2 linked regions of the Xenopus tropicalis genome follow. The protein of the gene in region 1 interacts with the protein of each later gene in a biochemical or structural test. Links are inferred from orthologs where the notes say so. Each region holds a gene or a part of one and is shown on either strand. Other genes may lie near its edges. The genes, in order: foxa2 and hoxa5.

The links.
Region 2: the proteins of foxa2 (region 1) and hoxa5 form a complex in vitro, tested with the Homo sapiens proteins (2 studies listed by BioGRID). The link is inferred for Xenopus tropicalis from reciprocal best matches to the Homo sapiens genes FOXA2 and HOXA5.

The regions. Positions count from the first base shown.
Region 1 is NC_030681.2:35,621,441-35,630,893, forward strand, and holds foxa2 (forkhead box protein A2), read left to right. Parts: upstream 1-3,966; 5' UTR 3,967-3,996; coding exon 3,997-4,065; intron 4,066-4,900; coding exon 4,901-6,136; 3' UTR 6,137-6,586; downstream 6,587-9,453. UniProt on the Homo sapiens protein: Transcription factor that is involved in embryonic development, establishment of tissue-specific gene expression and regulation of gene expression in differentiated tissues.
Region 2 is NC_030682.2:42,180,362-42,189,964, reverse strand, and holds hoxa5 (homeobox protein Hox-A5), read left to right. Parts: upstream 1-5,030; 5' UTR 5,031-5,090; coding exon 5,091-5,664; intron 5,665-6,251; coding exon 6,252-6,502; 3' UTR 6,503-7,263; downstream 7,264-9,603. Other genes in the region: hoxa6 (homeobox protein Hox-A6), read left to right, coding at 2,107-2,548, 3,232-3,503. UniProt on the Homo sapiens protein: Sequence-specific transcription factor which is part of a developmental regulatory system that provides cells with specific positional identities on the anterior-posterior axis. Also binds to its own promoter.

The sequences.
Region 1 (9,453 bases):
CTAACACCCAGCCATTTATCGGCTTTTTAAAAGCTAATTTCCAATTGGTTGTTCTGTGTTATTATCCTACAGCAAATGTTGCATTTTTTACTAAATAACCTTTTAAGTTGTCTGTAGGTCTCTCTAATGCAGACCCATCATGCAGAGTAAGCACAGGAGCAAGGCAAATGGGGAAAGGTAGGAGCATTAGTGAGAGAGTTGCATCCATGTGGGAAGCCTGTGACTTGTGCTAAGAAGGATTGCAGCATTGTCTTTCACCCATTTATGTCAGACTTGCCCACCAGTATACTAGGTAAACTCCTGGTGAGCCCAGGTGTCAGTGGGCCCTCCTGCTCCTATTTGGCATATTTCATGGTTGTTCCCTATTTTTGTATGGGAACAAGAGGCTTAATAGAGTATACACAAGTATGTAGTGAAAAGAGATTAGGAATAGGATAATAAAGCGGTTGAGGGAGAGGATAAGGAATAATAGTTTAGAGAGCAGGCCCATGGTGTAAGGCAGTGATCCCCAACCAGTGGATCGTGAGCAACATGTTGCTCCCCAACCCCTTGGATTGCTCCCATGGACCTCAAAGCAGGGGCTTATTTTTTAATTTCTAGTAAGGAGGCAAGTGTTGATTGCATAAAAACCAAGTATAATGCCAAACAGAGCCTTCTATAGTCTGCCAGTCCACATAGGGTCTATCAAATAGCCAATAATAGCTTTTATTGGCACACCATTTTCATGCTTGTGTTGGTCCCCAACACTTTTTCCACTTGAATGTGGCTCACAGGTATAAAAGGTTGGGGATCCCTGGTGTAAGGTTTTCTGGTGGGCACTGGCATCTCAGCCCAAGACGGTATGCCACCCATTTATGCAAATAAAGGCTTGCACCCAAATAATCACTGGCACTGTGTCAGTATTAAAAATAATTGTCTTTTATGTAAGATATGCAGTAAGATAACATTAATCCGTTTTAATACAATACATAGTTTTAATTTACAGAGTTTATAAAAAGACAATACATACACCACAAATTTGCAAACCGTAAAAAAGACACACAAGTTAGTGGTACACTTGCCAGAGATGAGAATTACCCCAACGTTTCGGCAAAGAAAGCCTTTCTCAAGGGGAATCCTTGAGATTTCATAAAAGACAATTCTTTTTATCCTACCACAGTGATTATTTGTGTGCAAGCTCTTATTTGCATAAAATACATTGATTTTTAGTACTCCATATGGGGGTATTTATTGGGCGTTTTATTTGCACAAAATCTGTATGCTTTAATTTGTGATAGAGGTGTCTGAGTGCCCTCCACTGACTTATATATTGGTATTGCCACCCTTTGCCAATGTTTGGCACTGAGACCTGGATATTAGCCTAATGACAAACAGGTGTTGGGGGGGGAGAATTGCCTACTATTCTGCAGTTGGGCAGACACAGAATTCACAGGTTTAGCTGGCTCCCTAAAAATACTTCTGTTATACTGGCCCAGGTTTACTAAACAGTGCTAAATCACAATCAAAAGATTGGGGGTTTCTCAGGGATATCCTGGTGTTGTACAAAAAAATAATAGTTCGATTTTTCATTTCAAACACTTGGATAAATACATATAAATGTGTGTGCCTCTTTTCAATGGAATGGCGGCTTTATTATCCTTTTTTATAACTGTTACTTTTTAGATTGTCTTTATAATACGCCTATTAACACTGTAAATGGGCTCTCATAGGTAACTATTTTTTATTAGTGAATAAGTCCATATTTTTTTTCATTTTTAAATTACATTTACACTTTGTGAAATATCGACCTTTAGCGGATCTGAGCCCAAGAAAAAAGACGTCTTGATCTTGCGAGAGTCCTGCCTAAAAGCAAGTGCAGTGACTTAACATTAGGGGGCGCTCTCTTACTACTTTGCTGAGATAATATCCACATCATGTCTAGCTGTTGCACTGAATTTTTTCTGCATTTCCCTGTCTTTCCTAGCCTTATATTTTTAGATTATATTCTAACTTTCTGTTGCCAGTTTATAGCTGATTTATTAATAATTAATAAGATTTGCACTTTGCAAATATTTTAATATATAACTCTATCTAGTTATCCATTATAAAAAAAAATAGAAACGTCCTAGTTGGTATCCTTATAGCTGTATTTTGGTATAAACCTAATTTATATAATTAAAGGCAGCCCCATATAGATTTGTATAAATAAATAGTGAAGTATTTGTGGCTGGTTCCTAGTTTATTATATTGCATTTGATTGTCTAGAGCTTCTGGGTGTTTTGCTGCGCTTTTATAATAAAATTATTATAGGTGTGCTTGTGAATGTGTATACATAAATATAAATTATTTTTAAATTTTAATATATAAATCTATCTAGCTATCATCTATCTATATATATATATATATATATATATATATGTGTGTGTGTGTGTACATTACACTCAGTATACATACAGTCAAAGCCTAGTATATAAACAATGTGTATTTAGACACATGCCTCCCACCTCCCTACTGTATACAGCTTGTGCGTTCTGTTTTATTTTATTATTAGTAATTTCCCCTCATTGTACAAGATTAGCTTTCTGTACATTGCAGGGCTGTTCAAACGAAAGGCAACGCTTTATTCCTCTTCAGAATTTCCTTGTTTTCCTAAGGCCCAATTTATTGACCATCCCTGAGACGATCTGCTAAATCTGCGATGATCAAACACGTTAAATAAACTTTACTTTGTTTAATATCTCAAACAGCAAACGTGCCCTCCAGAATAAATATATGTTGCAGCTCTGCTTGTGCGCTTAGTTCAGTCGGAACGGGCGGCAAATGACAGATCTCAGGCAGATGGAGCAGACACTATACAAAATACAGAACAAATCTATTTTATTATATTTTATGCAAGTGGATTATCGTCGGTTCTGGGGCAAGATTGGAAGGAATACAACAAGATCGTAGAACATTTCGTCTCTTTGAGTCGATGCTGTGGATAGGTTTTCATACTCAAATGTATTATCTGTAATAAATTTTTATTTTGGCATTTCCCTTTCCCTGGGATCTGGGTTTTTAAGGTAACTTTCTGTAAAGATTCACAGGACTTTGTATCAAATTGGAATGGAATTTTCCTGATTGTGGTGAGATTAAAAATGTAACCTTATTGCATTATCACTTTATTCTATTTCTGTTATTTATCGTTAAACCTTTACCTAATTGCACTTTCATTGGTTCTGAAATAAATCGCAACCAATTATCTTATGTGGGAGTAATAATTCTTATTTCTATTATCTGTATATGCGTCCCAGTTATTTGCCATTCATATTGATTGTGAATTCAATAAAATAAAATGGTGTATAAAATAATGTGTGTTGGGGAGTTGTATTTTGCTTTGGTATCAGTTAATAAGATATCTGCCAGTTTAGGTGACTACAGTTTCTCCCATATCCATGTAGAGGAACAAAAAAATTGGGTAATAAAGTGAGTTTGTGTCCTTCTCTCGTCCAATCCCCACTCCTCCCCTAGGGAAGTGCACAATCAGATTAAAGCTTAATGAATCTATTCAAATAGGTTTAAGGCAGGTGTAGAATAGCAGGGCCAAGGAACAGTCTGGCACTTAGGTGTGAGCTGATTATTCAAATGGGCAGGCGAAGACCTGGGGATTGGAGGTTTGCCTGGAGCTGGGTGCTATATCACCCTGCAGCAACGTCACTACTAGACTTGGAGTCATCATCATCATCCTCCTCCTCAGCAGCAGCACCCTGAGGTCTTTTTCACCCCCTGCAGCACCTCTTGCTACTTCAGTTTCCCTGAAACCCCATCCCACTCATTGAGCAGCCCCTCTGGCTGTCCATTTGTGCCCAACACTAGCCCAGCAGCAGCAGCAGCCACCTCCAGCCTTCCCCCTCCTAGTGATCAGAGAGGAAGAGGGAGGGTTCCTGGCTCCCTCACACTCTCTCTCTTTTTGTTGCTATCGCTGTCGTAGTTGTTGTGGCAGTTAAATTTTAAACTGCCAGGCACTCAGCTTCCAGTATGCTCGGGGCTGTGAAAATGGAAGGACACGAAGCCACAGACTGGAGCAGCTACTACGGGGAACCCGAGGTAAAGAGCCGCTTGTCGCTAATGGCACAATCCTTGCCTCATTCTGCCTCTTTATAGCGCACTGTTAGCCCTGGGATAATATTAACTTGGTCATCAAATATTGACTTGTGGCGCCTCCAAATCCTCCTCGATGACTGAGCCACACACTGTCCCAACAAAGTTCTGTTTGGCATGGGCAGGGGGGGCAAGGCAATGGGCACAGGCAAGGGGAATTGTATGGAAAAAAAACAGATTATACTTGTGAATTTAACTAATCACACTTTCAGGAAGAACAGTTTGTACTAAATATGGACATTTTCCTGATTTTCTCCTGGAGTTGTCTTTAGTAAGAACCCTTATACCCAAAGGGCTTCCCAAGGCTGGCTTGGGGGGAGAGGGGCTGCTATATTCCTTAAATCATTTTATTTCGTTTTTTGTTGTTTTTTTAGCATTTCTGGGTCTCTGAATATTTGACACTTTCGTTTTCTTTATTATGGAATCAACAGTAGGGTCAGAATAGCAATGTGTGGGCAGCCTTATAACTGGGCAGGTATAGAGAAACGTATAAATAAATATTTATTGATCTTTTCTAGAGGGGCTATATATATGTATGTATATTGTATTTAATATTATTTGACATGATTTAAGCCCGAGTTGTTTAACATTAACAGAAGAAAACGTTCTACGAGTTGTACATGTGTCTCTACAACCTGTGACTTCCGAGCTCTTGCTGAACTACATCTTCCAGCCTTCCACGTCTGCCTCCACGGACAGTGTGTTTCAGCCAGAGCCGGAGGGCCACAGGTTGCTGTTGATTTTGCGACTTTTAGATTGTGACCCTGTCGTTTGTTCCCAGGCTTACTCCTCGGTGGGTAACATGAACGCCGGGCTGAGCATGAACCCCATGAACACGTACATGAGCATGTCTGCTATGAGCACCTCGGCCAACATGACCGCCGGCTCCATGAACATGTCCTATGTGAATACTGGGATGAGCCCATCGCTCACCGGCATGTCTCCTGGCACCGGGGCAATGACTGGAATGGGCACCGGGGTAGCCAGTATGGCAAGTCACCTCAGCCCCAGTATGAGCCCGATGAGTGCCCAGGCTACTTCTATGAATGCCCTGGCACCCTATACCAACATGAACTCAATGAGCCCAATCTATGGACAGTCCAACATCAACAGATCCAGGGACCCCAAGACTTACAGGCGCAGTTATACGCATGCGAAGCCCCCCTACTCGTACATCTCGCTCATCACCATGGCGATCCAGCAGTCCCCCAACAAGATGCTCACTCTCAGCGAGATTTATCAGTGGATCATGGACCTGTTTCCTTTCTACAGGCAGAACCAGCAGCGCTGGCAGAACTCTATCCGCCATTCTCTTTCCTTCAATGACTGTTTTCTCAAGGTGCCCAGGTCCCCTGACAAGCCCGGAAAGGGCTCCTTCTGGACCCTACACCCCGATTCGGGCAACATGTTTGAGAATGGCTGTTACCTGAGGCGACAGAAACGCTTCAAGTGCGAGAAAAAGCCCAGCCTTAGAGAAGGGGGAGGCAAGAAACTCTCAGAAGGGTCATCGAGTGTGGGCTCTGCAGCCAACAGCAGCTCTGAGAGCTCAGTGGGCAATGAGTCCCCGCACTCCAGCTCGTCCCCCTGCCAGGAGCAGAAGAGGTCTCTAGTAGATATGAAGTCCAGCCAAGGCTTAAGCCCAGACCATGCAGCCTCCCCAGCCTCCCAAGCCCAGCACTTGCTTTCCCAGCACCACTCTGTCTTGTCCCATGAAGCCCAGTCCCACCTCAAACCAGAACACCATTATTCTTTCAACCACCCATTCTCCATCAACAACCTCATGTCCTCAGAGCAACAGCACCACCATCACCACCACCACAACCACCATCATCACCATAAAATGGACTTAAAAGCTTATGAACAGGTGATGCACTACTCTGGTTACGGGTCCCCCATGACTGGCAGCCTGGCAATGAGCACAGTAACAAACAAAAGTGGCTTAGAGTCTTCACCTATTTCCAGTGACACCTCATACTATCAAGGTGTGTATTCTAGACCTATCATGAACTCCTCATAGACTTTCTACCATGGACTTGTCACCTGGGCTCTGTGTATATAATATTAAGAAGAAAAACAACATAGTATGTGTCTACATTCCTATTGAATTGTACAGTCCCCCGAGTTTGTTTCTGTATAGGAGCTTAGCTTGTTAAGCTATGTTTGATTTGGGTGCTTTTCTTTGGCAAGGAGTATATTTTTGTGAAAGTGACGGATCCTAATTTTTCTGTGTGAAATCTGTTAATTTTCCCTAAGGACCAAAATTGTGTGATATTGGTAATGTTAAAAAAAACAGAAACGGAATATATTGATGTAATTGAAAAAAAAGATGTTTTTTTTTTTTATTTGTTTGGGGGAGATGCTTGAAACTGGTTAATTTATGGTTTCTGTATGTTTTATTTATGACTGCTGTATGTATTCTGGCCATAACCGGCCGGTTTAACAATCTCTATTAAAAAATGAATTGGCATTTCTGTCGGGATTTTTCTTTCCACCTCTATACACATATTTTTGTGGCTGAAGGTGAATCAGATAAGTGAGCACAAGCCAAGGTCTGGACTGTACCAAGGTGGGATACAGGGAGGCTGAAGGGTTCTGCTCTGCTGACACTTCCCTTCAATTTCTCACAAGTCCATGAAAGTTCTGCCACAATGGGATTAGATAAAGGATCCATTGTATTGGGGGGGTTTAGTTCACAGGCAAGTTTTATAACGAATTTTTATGTAACGAATTTCCATGGTACTAGAGTGCATGAAATACTACTACTGTTACTAATAATAATAATAAAGATTCGTTACTGTATAGTCGGCTGATTTTAAAGTGACCTATTCCCTCTTACTAATATCATGTGTGCATGCCAGTGAGACCTTTATTCGGCTGAGTAGAGAGAAAATTAAGGGAGAAAAACATACCTGATAATATTCAAAATCTTTTCTTTTTTATACATATAAATGCTTAAATATTTGCCATAACACAGTAGATTCCCGACGGCGACTTTTAAGAAAGCCAGCTGCGCTCCAACCCTAATTCTTATGGTTATTTTATACATTAAATACAATAAAACGATTTTTTTTATTTAACAAATGAAAGCCAATGTCTAAGCACATTTAAACACAACAAATAAACACAACATAAAAACTAGAAGTGTGTGGGCAGGACTGGCAGCAGTCACCGGTATCAAACTAGACTTTGGCAATGTATTAAGTGGGAGCGGCCAATGATAAATTAAACAGGTGTGCCGACTTATAGGTGTTGGCCATTTGTTATTTTATATCCTATCTAAAACCATGTTATTCCCTGCTACACCAGATTTAGATAATGTGTGCAACATTATTCTCTCCATATTCTACATGTATTTATTATTGTATTATTTCCTGTCTTTTTCTGGGTCTATGTGTGTGTGTGTATATATATATATGTGTGTGTGTGTGTGTGTGTGTTTGTGTATATATATATATATGTGTGTGTGTGTGTGTGTATATATTTACTGTAGGTCACCATATCCTGGGTTTTAGGAGTAAAAGTTGGTTAAAACCAATATACATATAAACTAGGCCTCTCAGATCAGCATTTTCCCAGGGCAGTATATTGTGTCCAGAGAACTGGAAAAATGCCGCTATGTAAATATGTTTATGTGTGTAGTTTAGAGAGAGTTTATAACCCAGAGAGAGGGAAATGCTAGGAACCAGCCACCTGCCCAGATATGTGTCCCTGGGAATAGGGAAAGCTGGAATATCCAGTCTGTGCAAGTCTCCCTGCTCTGGGAAAGCCAAGGGAGTCCATAAGGAAAGTCAGGAAAAATCAGGAGCAGAAAAACACTGTAGAGTCATTTTTCCCACACGATCAGGGCCTGATAGATAGTGGTAGGAAAATAACATTCAAATCCTTCTTAATATCCACATTGTTGGGGGTTAAACAGCTCGGATCCCGGCAGAGCCCTCCAGTCCCCACACTGGCAGGACACACACGTTGAGAAGGGAGCAGAAATGTGTTTCATTAGCACATAAAGGCTCCCCGCTGGGAAGGAGAATGGGAGCAAAGAATAGCGCTGATTTGGGAACAATTGCCCTTTCAGTGTGATGCTCTAACCTGTTATGTTCCCTATCACTTCCCTATTGTTCTGCGGTCATTTTAAACTACTTAGCGTGTCCTGCCCCACTGATCCCTGCAGATAACATGGAGTTGTGCCCCGATACATAAAAACGATGCGATTGCCGCTGTGTCAGCCTGTCAGCCCCAGTGCAGCCTGCGGAACGTTCTCCTGGCTCCGCACTCGGCCCCTCTCTGCCGCCCAGGCTCCGCGGGTTGCGCTTTTTGTACAAAAAAAAGGTGGGGGTTTGTGCAACTAGTACATTTATTTTCCAAGCGCTTTGCTGGTTTAAGCGAGCGTGAGCTGTGAATAAACAAAGTCAGTAAACAAGAAAAAAATCGCCAGCAGATTCCAGGAGGGTAAACTTTCAGCAGCAGCGACAGCGGCAGCACGTCACTCTTTAGCAAATTGACTCACTTATTATATTCCCTTTCCTGCGCTCCGCACTCATTCTGCCACCCAGATTTTATAAAGCTGATCAATATCTCCCCTCTGAAATGTTCTTTGTTTTCCCAATAGCGAAATCTTTGCTTTGTGTTAGAGTCAACAGTGACTTAGATCTTCTATAAATTCGGCGAAACTTCCGCCTCTATTCAGCAGCTGGGGAAGTCATGCTCGGAGCTACCGGGAGCGGCTGCAGGTAGGGGAAAACTGCTAAGTGCCTGTAGGGGAAAACTGCTAAGTGCCTGTTGGGGAAAACTGCTAAGTGCCTGTAGGGGAAAACTGCTAAGTGCCTGTAGGGGAAAACTGCTAAGTGTCTATGGGGCAGCCCTGCAACTGGAACTTTATTTCTGCAGGGAAAACTGCTAAGTGTCTGTAGGGAAAACTGCTAAGTGCCTGTATGGAAAACTGCTAAGTGTCTATGGGGCAGCCCTGCAACTGGAATATTATCTCTGCAGGGAAAACTAGTGCCTGTAGGGCAGCCCTGCAACTGGAACTTTATTTCTGCAGGGAAAACTGCTAAGTGCCTGTAAGGCAGCCCTGCAACTGGAATATTATCTCTACAGGGAAAACTAGTGCCTGTAGGGCATCCCTGCAACTGGAACTTTATTTCTGCAGGGAAAACTGCTAAGTGTCTGTAGGGCAGCCCTGCAACTGGAACTTTATCTCTGCAGGTAGAACTGCTAAGTGCCTGTAGGGAAGGTTCCATCCAGTGTCACACTGTCTTAGCAGTTATTTCACTGTTAAATAGAACGAATGAAATGATGTCAAGTGGATTTGCAGATTCATTTTGTACTATTTCTTAT
Region 2 (9,603 bases), on another chromosome or scaffold:
CAAATGGAAACAGCCATGTGAATTTACATTGAGAAATAAATTATTACAGTTTGGCAAGGCAATGGCTGTAGAACGCAACGCTCGCTAATTCCTCTTGTCTATGTCCTGCTCATGGGGCTTCTAAAATGTTCTGTTCATTTAACACTTCAACAGGGGAATCACTTTAATTTAACTTGTTTTCACTTCTAGCACTTGGGCAGATACACTAAGCGGTGGTAATTACCGCTAGTCTGTAGCAAATAGTTATTCAAAAGTGAAGAAAAAAAAAAATACCTCTTGGGAGGAAATAATGCGAAAAAGAAAGTCTTAACATCTTAAAAAATATTGTTCAAGTCACGAAGCTTAAATATTTCGTTATTAAGTGATATTACACCCAAAGTCTTATGCCAGGCATTTAACTAAAAACGACATATACATTGAGAAATGTTTTGTAAAAACAATGAATAGCAATGCCCCCTTTTTAATAAAATGTAGTTTTTAAGTTTTGATTGTGATACCCACAATGCACTGCTTTTACCTGCAATAAGGGCACCTGCAGTAAAATTATGATTTATTAGGACTAAAATTACTGATGACGTTGAACCCTGTTTCCTAGAGAGCAAGGGATGTTACCATAGTTAAGGACATTTACATTTAACCCTATAGATTAGCATATATTTCCTTTGAGTTAGTCTAAACCAATACCTTTGGGGGTCCAACAAATAACACTGGAACTCTTATACTGAGCAAATTATCTGCCTGTCTTTCTGTGTCTATCTATCTATCGTCATCTATCTATCTATCTATCTAGTAATCTCTGTCCCCACACACAAGTATATAATAGGAATATAAAAAAAAAATGTAGCTTCAGCAGAATGGGGAAACCAATACAAACTTGATTTTAATGCCTTCAATAATGTGTGTGTGTGTATATATATATATATATATATATATATATATATATATATATATATATATATAATGGTTTTACAGGAATGCTGAATTAATAGAATTAATAGATTATACTAATTAGTTTTATTTAAATTAGTTTAAGGCAACACACACAGATAGACAGACAGATAGATAGATAGATAGATAGATAGATAGATAGATAGACAGACAGACAGACAGACAGACAGATAGATAGATAGATAGATAGATAGATAGATATAGATAGATAGATAGATGATAGATAGATAGATAGATAGATAGATATAGATAGATATAGATAGATAGATGATAGATAGATAGATGATAGATAGATAGATAGATAGATAGATAGATAGATAGATAGATAGATAGACTTGCATGCAAATATAATACGCCCAGGTTGCTATTGCAATATTATACCGTTTAGATATTTTTGCCCTTTTCTTTTGCATCTGGTTGCATTATGCATTGTTTCAGACCCATTTAGATTGCTAGATCTGTGGGCAGGGACCTCCTTCCTCCAGTTTATGGCACTTAATCTTTGTAATCGTGTGTATTTTTACTTTTTGTACTGTTTGTTTTTTCTTGTCCTTTCTATGAATGCCTTGCGAAATATACTATGCTGAATAGAGAAGCAGCGCTATATAAATAAAAACAAACATGTATATATGAGGTCTGGCTTATTTATTCCCTTTCTAGGTCCCTGTGGCCGGTGTGGCAATGCATTCCATACACTAGCTGACTGTAATTAGTTTAATCATGCACTGCTAATAAATTGCCTGCGTCTCCAGTTGAGGATCACCCTAGGGGTGAACACTTTTGCACATTTTAAACGGACAATAACTTGAATTTGTGGCTAATAGAAATGTATTTTATTTTTTTTTGCAAAATCGCTCCTCTAGTTTGTAAACAAGATCCTTCCCAAGTGCCCTCCCTGCAATGGGAACAGTACATGATTGGTACATGGATGTGCTGGGAAGCTGCGTGCAATTTGGAAGTTTGCTGGCTCAGACCCCAGTCCCAGGGGAGCGCCACAATCGCATCTTCCTATTGGCTAGTGAGGGATCAGCTGCTCAGATTTGCCTCTGTCGCTTTTGGCTCTCGGCCATCCAGAAACAAACCAGTTGGATGAGTGCTAATAGTTATAGGCAGATGTACTAATACACAACAAATCACGGAACTGGAGAGTGAGAGCAAATGAGTTCGTACTTTGTGAATAGCACTTTCCCTGGGACTCTGCCCAATGGACAAGAGGCGTTTGTGGGGCAGATCCCCCTCTACTCATCTGGCTATGAAGCTTTAAGGCATTTTCCGGGCGCTTATGGGTCACCTCCTGTGCAGGACAAGCCCTACCCCTCACCCTGTTTCTACCAGCAGTCCAACACCCTTATTGCCTGCAATGGAAACTCTTATGAGTATGGGGCATCCTGCTTCTACTCGGGCAAGGAGAGCAGCGGCAGCCCGTCCTCATATGGGACTAAACACAGAGGGGACAGTGGGGAATATCTACATTTCTCCGCCGATCAGCAGCAATATAAATCTGCCAGTGCCCAAGGCAAGATGCTACATGAGGAACCCACCGACCGGAAGTACAGCAGCCCTGTCTATCCCTGGATGCAGAGGGTCAACTCTTGTACTGGTGAGTCCCTGCCTGTGCTACACTCCATACACATTGGTAACAATAATATAGGGAAATACCGAGACAAAGTGGAACAGGGACCCCAACACCTGATCCTTTATCAATCTGCTTCAAACACACTGACAGCCAATGGAAGTTCAGCACTAAAATGCTCTGCACTTGCATTGATTCTATAGTGTATCCGCTTTTAAAGAAAAGGGAAATAGTTATATTACATTTAATAAGAATCCCAATACAGTGGCGCTGCAAGAGTGGCACAAAACCACGTGGGTATTTTTTGCCACCAAAAAAAAAAAAAAAACTGGCAAAGATGTGTCATTTATTAGTTACTGGTTGCAATGGTACATGTAATACATGCAAAATATGCTTGCTGTATATTAGCATTGTATAGGAAATTAATTCATGGTACATACACGAAAAATACGCTGGCAAGTATAAATATATATATTTCTATATCGGTATAATATATATTGATTTTGCGAATTTGACACATACCCAGAGGCAAGTAGTTCATTTCTATTTATAAGGTGGGATGTAGGTGGATTTCTTAAAAAGGGATGTGTTAATATCTATAGTTACATAGAGAAATGTATTGCTAATTGCTGTGTATGTGTGATTTAAAGTGAAGGAGGCAGGATATTTTCTGTGTCGGTAGCTGACATGCCTATATTCCTTTATTCCAGGTCCAGTGTATGGTGCCCATGGCAGGAGAGGGAGGCAGACCTACACCAGGTTCCAGACTTTAGAACTAGAGAAAGAATTTCATTTTAACAGATACCTGACTAGGAGGAGAAGGATTGAAATTGCTAATGCCCTTTGCCTCACGGAAAGACAGATCAAAATATGGTTTCAAAACAGAAGGATGAAATGGAAGAAAGAAAGCAAACTCCTGCTCCCATCCCACCCCAGCGACGACCCCTCAGAAGGCAAACAGGAGGAGAAAAGCACCACCTAAAGACACGTGTCGGGCCTCCTTCTATTCAGTCTGGATCTCGGATGCCCTTTTATATATATGACAGATATAAATAAGAATTCATCATTGCGCTATTTATACACAGAAGCTGGGAAATTCCATATACTGACGCTCACTAGTTAATAAAAATATGTGCGTGTATATATATATATATATATTTATATATATACATACACACACTCACGCTACAGCTAAATAGTTTTGTGTTAGAGCAAAGGCTGTATTTTTCATTTTCGGTGAGCAGCCTGACTCTAATTTTGCCAGCTACACTCCCCTATGCAGGGGTCTGCGCCATATCTATTATATTTGACTTGCTGCTGCAATGCCCATAGTCGTATAGTGGCACTTAACATGGGGAAGACAAAAGAAAAAAAAAAACAACGGAAATCCTAATTTCCTTTCCATTGCCCGAAACAATGTGAATATCAGCTCTTTCTTTGTAAAATGCAACCGAACAGTCGCAGACAAAGGTTTCCAGTGCTGCGCTTGGTGATTTCTTAAATACCAGGATCTTCATTTTCACTGTACAAGAAACTAGAAATCTTATCCCTCCCTGCAAATTCGTTTCTCTCCTTTATATGGAATATTGCGGCGATGTACAGTTCTCCTGGGGAAGCGCAGAAAGGCAGTTTTGGGTGAGACTGCAACAACCTGGCTCCTAGCAATATTTACTCCATTCATTTTATTGTACAACTGTATGGGATTAATTGGGGGGGGGGGGGGGGTAACGGGACGGTGAAAGGTGCTGGCGCTTTTCAGGGACAAGGCAGAGAAAAAAGAATTACTACTAAGTATGATTATTACATATATATACATACATAAATGTATATTACAGCGATCGTTTAAAACATTGTTTTTCCGTGAATTAAAACAATGTTTCAAAAGACAATAGAGCCGAACTGCCACTGCTTGTTCCCCGTCATAAATGGCTCTGATCAGTGGCAGATAATATTGACCTGGGCGCTATTCACAGACGCAATGACTGACAAAGAGGCACAAAATAATGTAGTAATATCACAAATAAAAATGACCAAAAAAGTGAATTTTGAATGGGTTTGAAACAAAACCTCTTTGTGCATTTCCCCCGCTATTAATGCGCCGGATTGTGCCTGTGAGCCGGTACATTTGGTATTCACTAATGGAGCTGTGAGGGGAATGTAATAATTTTCCTGTAATGGGATGTAACCTTAATTCGACCCCGGCCCTGCAGTCCCTTCTTTGCTGGCCGGGGAGACTGTAATGACAGTTCGGCAGCCAGAAGGTGGCGCAAGAGGCTGCTCAAAAGCTTCCAGCTCTACACGGGGCCGCGCACAAACGCTCGCTCCCTTAGCAGCCTCCCTGCTCCCCCACTAGTACACCAGTTTACCTCTAGAGGTCATCAGGCAGGATTTACGACTGGACAACAAAAGCACGTGATTCCAAGTCGTACCCCATATTTGGGTGCCTACGTAGGAGGGAACCAAGTACATGTCCCAGTCATTTCCATAATTCATCATAAATTGTGCAAGGGTGCTATAGACGCGCAAAACGACCAAGAGCCACAAATCAAGCACACATATCAAAAAACAAATGAGCTCTTATTTTGTAAACTCATTTTGCGGTCGCTATCCAAATGGCCCGGACTACCAGTTACATAATTATGGAGATCACAGCTCGGTGAACGAGCAATACAGGGATACAACGAGCATGCATTCCAGCAGGTACGGATACGGCTACAATGGCATGGATCTCAGCGTTGGGCGCTCAGCTTCCAACCACTTTAGTGCCAATGACAGAGCAAGGAATTATCCATCCAATCCGAGCTCCTCTACAGAGCCAAGGTATAACCAACCTGCAGCGTCTGCTCACTCTCCTCCACCTGACCCTCTGCCCTGCACCGCTGTAGCCACATCGCCTGTCAGCGACAGTCACCAAGGGGGCAAAAACTCCATAACTAACTCCAACAACACCACGTCCAATTCAAGCAACAGCAGCACTGGCACCAGCACTCACATTAACAGAGATGGGCTGGGTGCATCTTCTGGTGCTGAGGATGATGCCCCAGCAAGCAGCGACCAGGCAAGTTCTCAGAACAGCCAAAGCCCAGCTCCGTCAGTGCAACCCCAAATCTACCCCTGGATGCGAAAACTGCACATAAGCCATGGTAAATACGCCTCCTATCTCTTATCTATATATATATTTTTTAAATGAAAAAAAAAATTAAACAGCAGAAGGAATAGGGTCCAACTTTTGATGCCTTAGCCTGTCTAGACTAGAATTACTGCTACAAAACATTTCAGGCATATTAGGAAATTGGCAGCTGCATTTTATTGGTGTCACATCTGATCTGAAAAGAACACTTTCATTTTAGCACCATCACAACTTCATGATGTATTTCAACTTTTAAATATAATTAAAAAAAACAACAGGATATTTGGTTTCAATGCCTTGGGCAATGAACACCTGTAAGGGCCGCCCAAAAATACAGAGGGAGAATAAATATGTTTTTCTCTCTAAATCTATATGAAAGTGGGAAGTAAAAGCTTAATATTTTGTAAAAATTGGGTCGGTCAGATGAGGATTGTTGGGAGAGATGCAGAAAGTAGAGGTTATCATAAAGTGTTGGATTTTCTCCCCTTGTGAGTGGGTACCATACTCAGGCACTGAGAGCCCAGTGAGAGCCCAGTGTAGGTCTGAGCACCGTTAGAAAGATGTTCCTTTGCTCTAACTCATGTTGTGTCCCTCTTGCAGACAACATAGGAGGGCCAGAAGGAAAGCGAGCCCGGACAGCCTACACCCGCTACCAAACTCTGGAGCTGGAAAAGGAATTTCATTTCAACAGATACCTGACCCGCAGGAGGAGGATTGAAATAGCCCATGCACTCTGTCTCTCTGAGAGGCAAATTAAAATCTGGTTCCAAAACAGGAGAATGAAGTGGAAAAAAGACAATAAACTAAAGAGTATGAGCATGGCAGCGGCTGGGGGTGCATTTCGTCCTTAAATTTCCCCTCCCTAAAGAATGTACTGATTCAGTATTAGCTAAACCTGTATATTGTCACCACCACTTTGTATAACTCTTCTCTGTGACTTCTGTGAAGATACCCTCCTCCCTAATATCTTGTCTACCCTTTATCCTAGCAATGAGCCTTTAAACTGGGTGAAATAGCTTCAACTGCTTCCTGTAAATGTTTTGTCCTTGGATGCCTATGTATTGACAATTTAATGTTTTAACTTATTTGAGTATGTAAAGCGCTTATGTGTTACTTGAAATAACTGTACAAAAATGAGATTACGACAGCAAACGTTTATTACAGATGTTTTGTGTCTGCAGACCCCTGTATATGTTCGTGTAGTGTGACCATGTCTGAATGCCTTCCAACTGTCTCCCACAATTTCATGAAACTACCTAGAGTTCCTGTGAAAAATAACTATGTTGTAGAAGTGACTTTGCGGTCCAATTTATCTTGTGATATTGTCTAAGTAGCTGTGACACAAATTGTGTCTGTCCTAGCTGTGCCTTTTGTAATGAGAAAAAAAAAACACAACAAGAAAAAAAGGAAAAAAAAAACGTTTGCACGAAACTTTACTGAAAATGGCTGGAATCGCAGCGTCTGGTTAATGTGTTTTGTTTTATAAATTCAATAATATAGTGGAGCTTGGCAGATTACGCAATTGTTCCAATTTTTTTGTAAAAAAAAAATTTTTTTTTCAAGAAAAATTATGACTGGAAACAACAACAAAAAAAATAAACTTTCTACTGAAGATCTTTGTTGTGCTTGTATTGAGAAGTGCATGGTTTTTAGGGATGTGAGTGTTTTGATTGATGGAAAAACGCTCTGCTATGTGAATCACTGGTTGTTGAGAATAACACTTCATCAGGACAATCTATAATCTATGTACAATGATCAATGAGTAAAAATATTAGCATAGCATAGGCCCTAGGCACATTAACAGGTCCTTTAAACTGTACACAGTGTTAAGCACTTTATTTACTCTCACTCCAACACTTCATGTAAAATGGCTCCTGGAAAATAAAGTTCTTTTCTTAAATAGAAAATGATATTTTTACGCTCCCAGTACTGCCCTGATTACATAACAGATCCCTAAGCACCTCAAGCCTTTCAAAATGGACTTACCTCTCATTAGCTTGGAGAGCTAACTCTTCTCAGGCTGTAATGGCAATGAAAGGGATCCCCCTTCTAACTGCTTACCCTCTTGCCTTCTTAAGTTATATAACAGTAAACTTTATAAGCTCTAGTTCCGGCTATGTGACATTTGCTTGCCAAATGAATAGGGTTTTGTCTATGAATTACATCGTAAAATCCTCCATAGCACAGACAGATAGGCTCACTGGCTATAAAAAGTCACGTGGGGCTATTAAAGTAAGTTTTATGGTTTTAGGGAGTAGACGACCAACATTATATAGTACATATCATATAATCTCACTGATGCTGGACATCATTTGGCTTTTAGCAGGACACGTAAGGCTTGCAGGCAGTTACCTATTTAATTAGCAGCCGCCTTGCCCAGAATCAAGATTCTTGCTGCTTACAAAGTTAAGGTAAGTGTAGTATCCATAATTATTTTTATATTGCTGAGAGGGAATACTAGCTAAATAGTAACGTTAAAAGATTGGCCCATGGATCCTACGAGCTAAATATTTTTTTTTCTTTTTTTCATACCTCTTAAATAGGGTAACTGCATTGCTGTCTGTTGGGTATAGAGTTACAGAAATTCCCAGCTACAGTTGTAGCCAAATGTTAATTACCTTGTTACTTTGGCGGGGCTCTAATTGTATTTATTTTATGACTTTTGATATCTAGTTAGCTATGGTTTATATGGTAGATATTAGTTACATGGTAGATAAGAAATGCTTAGTAAGCAGATGCTGGAAAGAAAATACCTTGGCCGGGTTCAAATGTATCTCAGAGTATCACTACTTACCTTCCTTGGTTCATTGCAAACACACGAACAGTCACAAGGTTTCAAAGTGAAAGTAGACTATTTCCACGCAGCTTAGTTGTTTGGGAAAAAACTCCAGAGTCCCCTTAAGATATATGCTAGGGTTTGTACATTTCTGGGCTGGGAAGGAATTTGGATAGGCCCCAGCTGTCTGTTTACTGCAACATTCTTTTAAGTCAATAGTGAGTTCACACTGCAGTGTGATTAGTCAGCAATGAACTTTATGGCCAGAATTAACTGTAGCCTTTTGAGTTAAGTTGCTATATTTGGGGGTGATAAGAAAAGCATCTTCATTTGGGCAGATTTGAAGAGAAAGTGTTTGGCAACCTTTTTATTCACAAGCCTGATTTTTCCACACGGCTGTATCATCTCACATCTTGAACTTTACCAAAGGTATATATTTATGTATGTATTTGGGTGTTTTGAGTCTGAGTGGCATGAAATAAGAGGGATTGTTAGCCTTATTGTAAGCATGAATTCAACCATGTCTTAGCTTTATGGCTGGTAGGCAATGGGAACATTTGGTAACTGAGGGATTTCCGCCTTCCTGAAAACCTTTCGCACTAAACATTCACATTAGCATAAAATATGGCCCCAATAAAACTTATCAATAGACCCTGCAGTTGTTGTTTTGGTTGTTTTTGTATTGCCACATTTTATGCTTTTGTGGTCTGTGAGATAAGACGTGAGAGAAGATCCATTTATCATTCTTGTTTGTGCTCTGCACTTTTAAAATCCCTGACACAAACGTATGTATATGTATAGTTGTAATTTATATAAAGTTCTTTCCTAAAGTATAACATTCAAAAATCGCAGTGAATCATAAGAATTCTGTTTCTTTCTATGTAACATCTATATATATATATATACACATATCCGTTTTCTCTTATCTATTTTCTATCAATAATTATCTATCTATCTATCTATCATTCATCTATCTTTATGATAAGTCTGCACTTAACTTATCTTACTAGGTTTTCTAATTTCACACACACACACACACACACACACACACACACACAAACACACACACAAACACACATATGTGTATTTATTTGTAGAGATCTTTTAAAATGTCGAAACACATTTCAGTCTAAACGCGTATTGTGTAGTAACTAGATAACTACAATTTAACTTTTA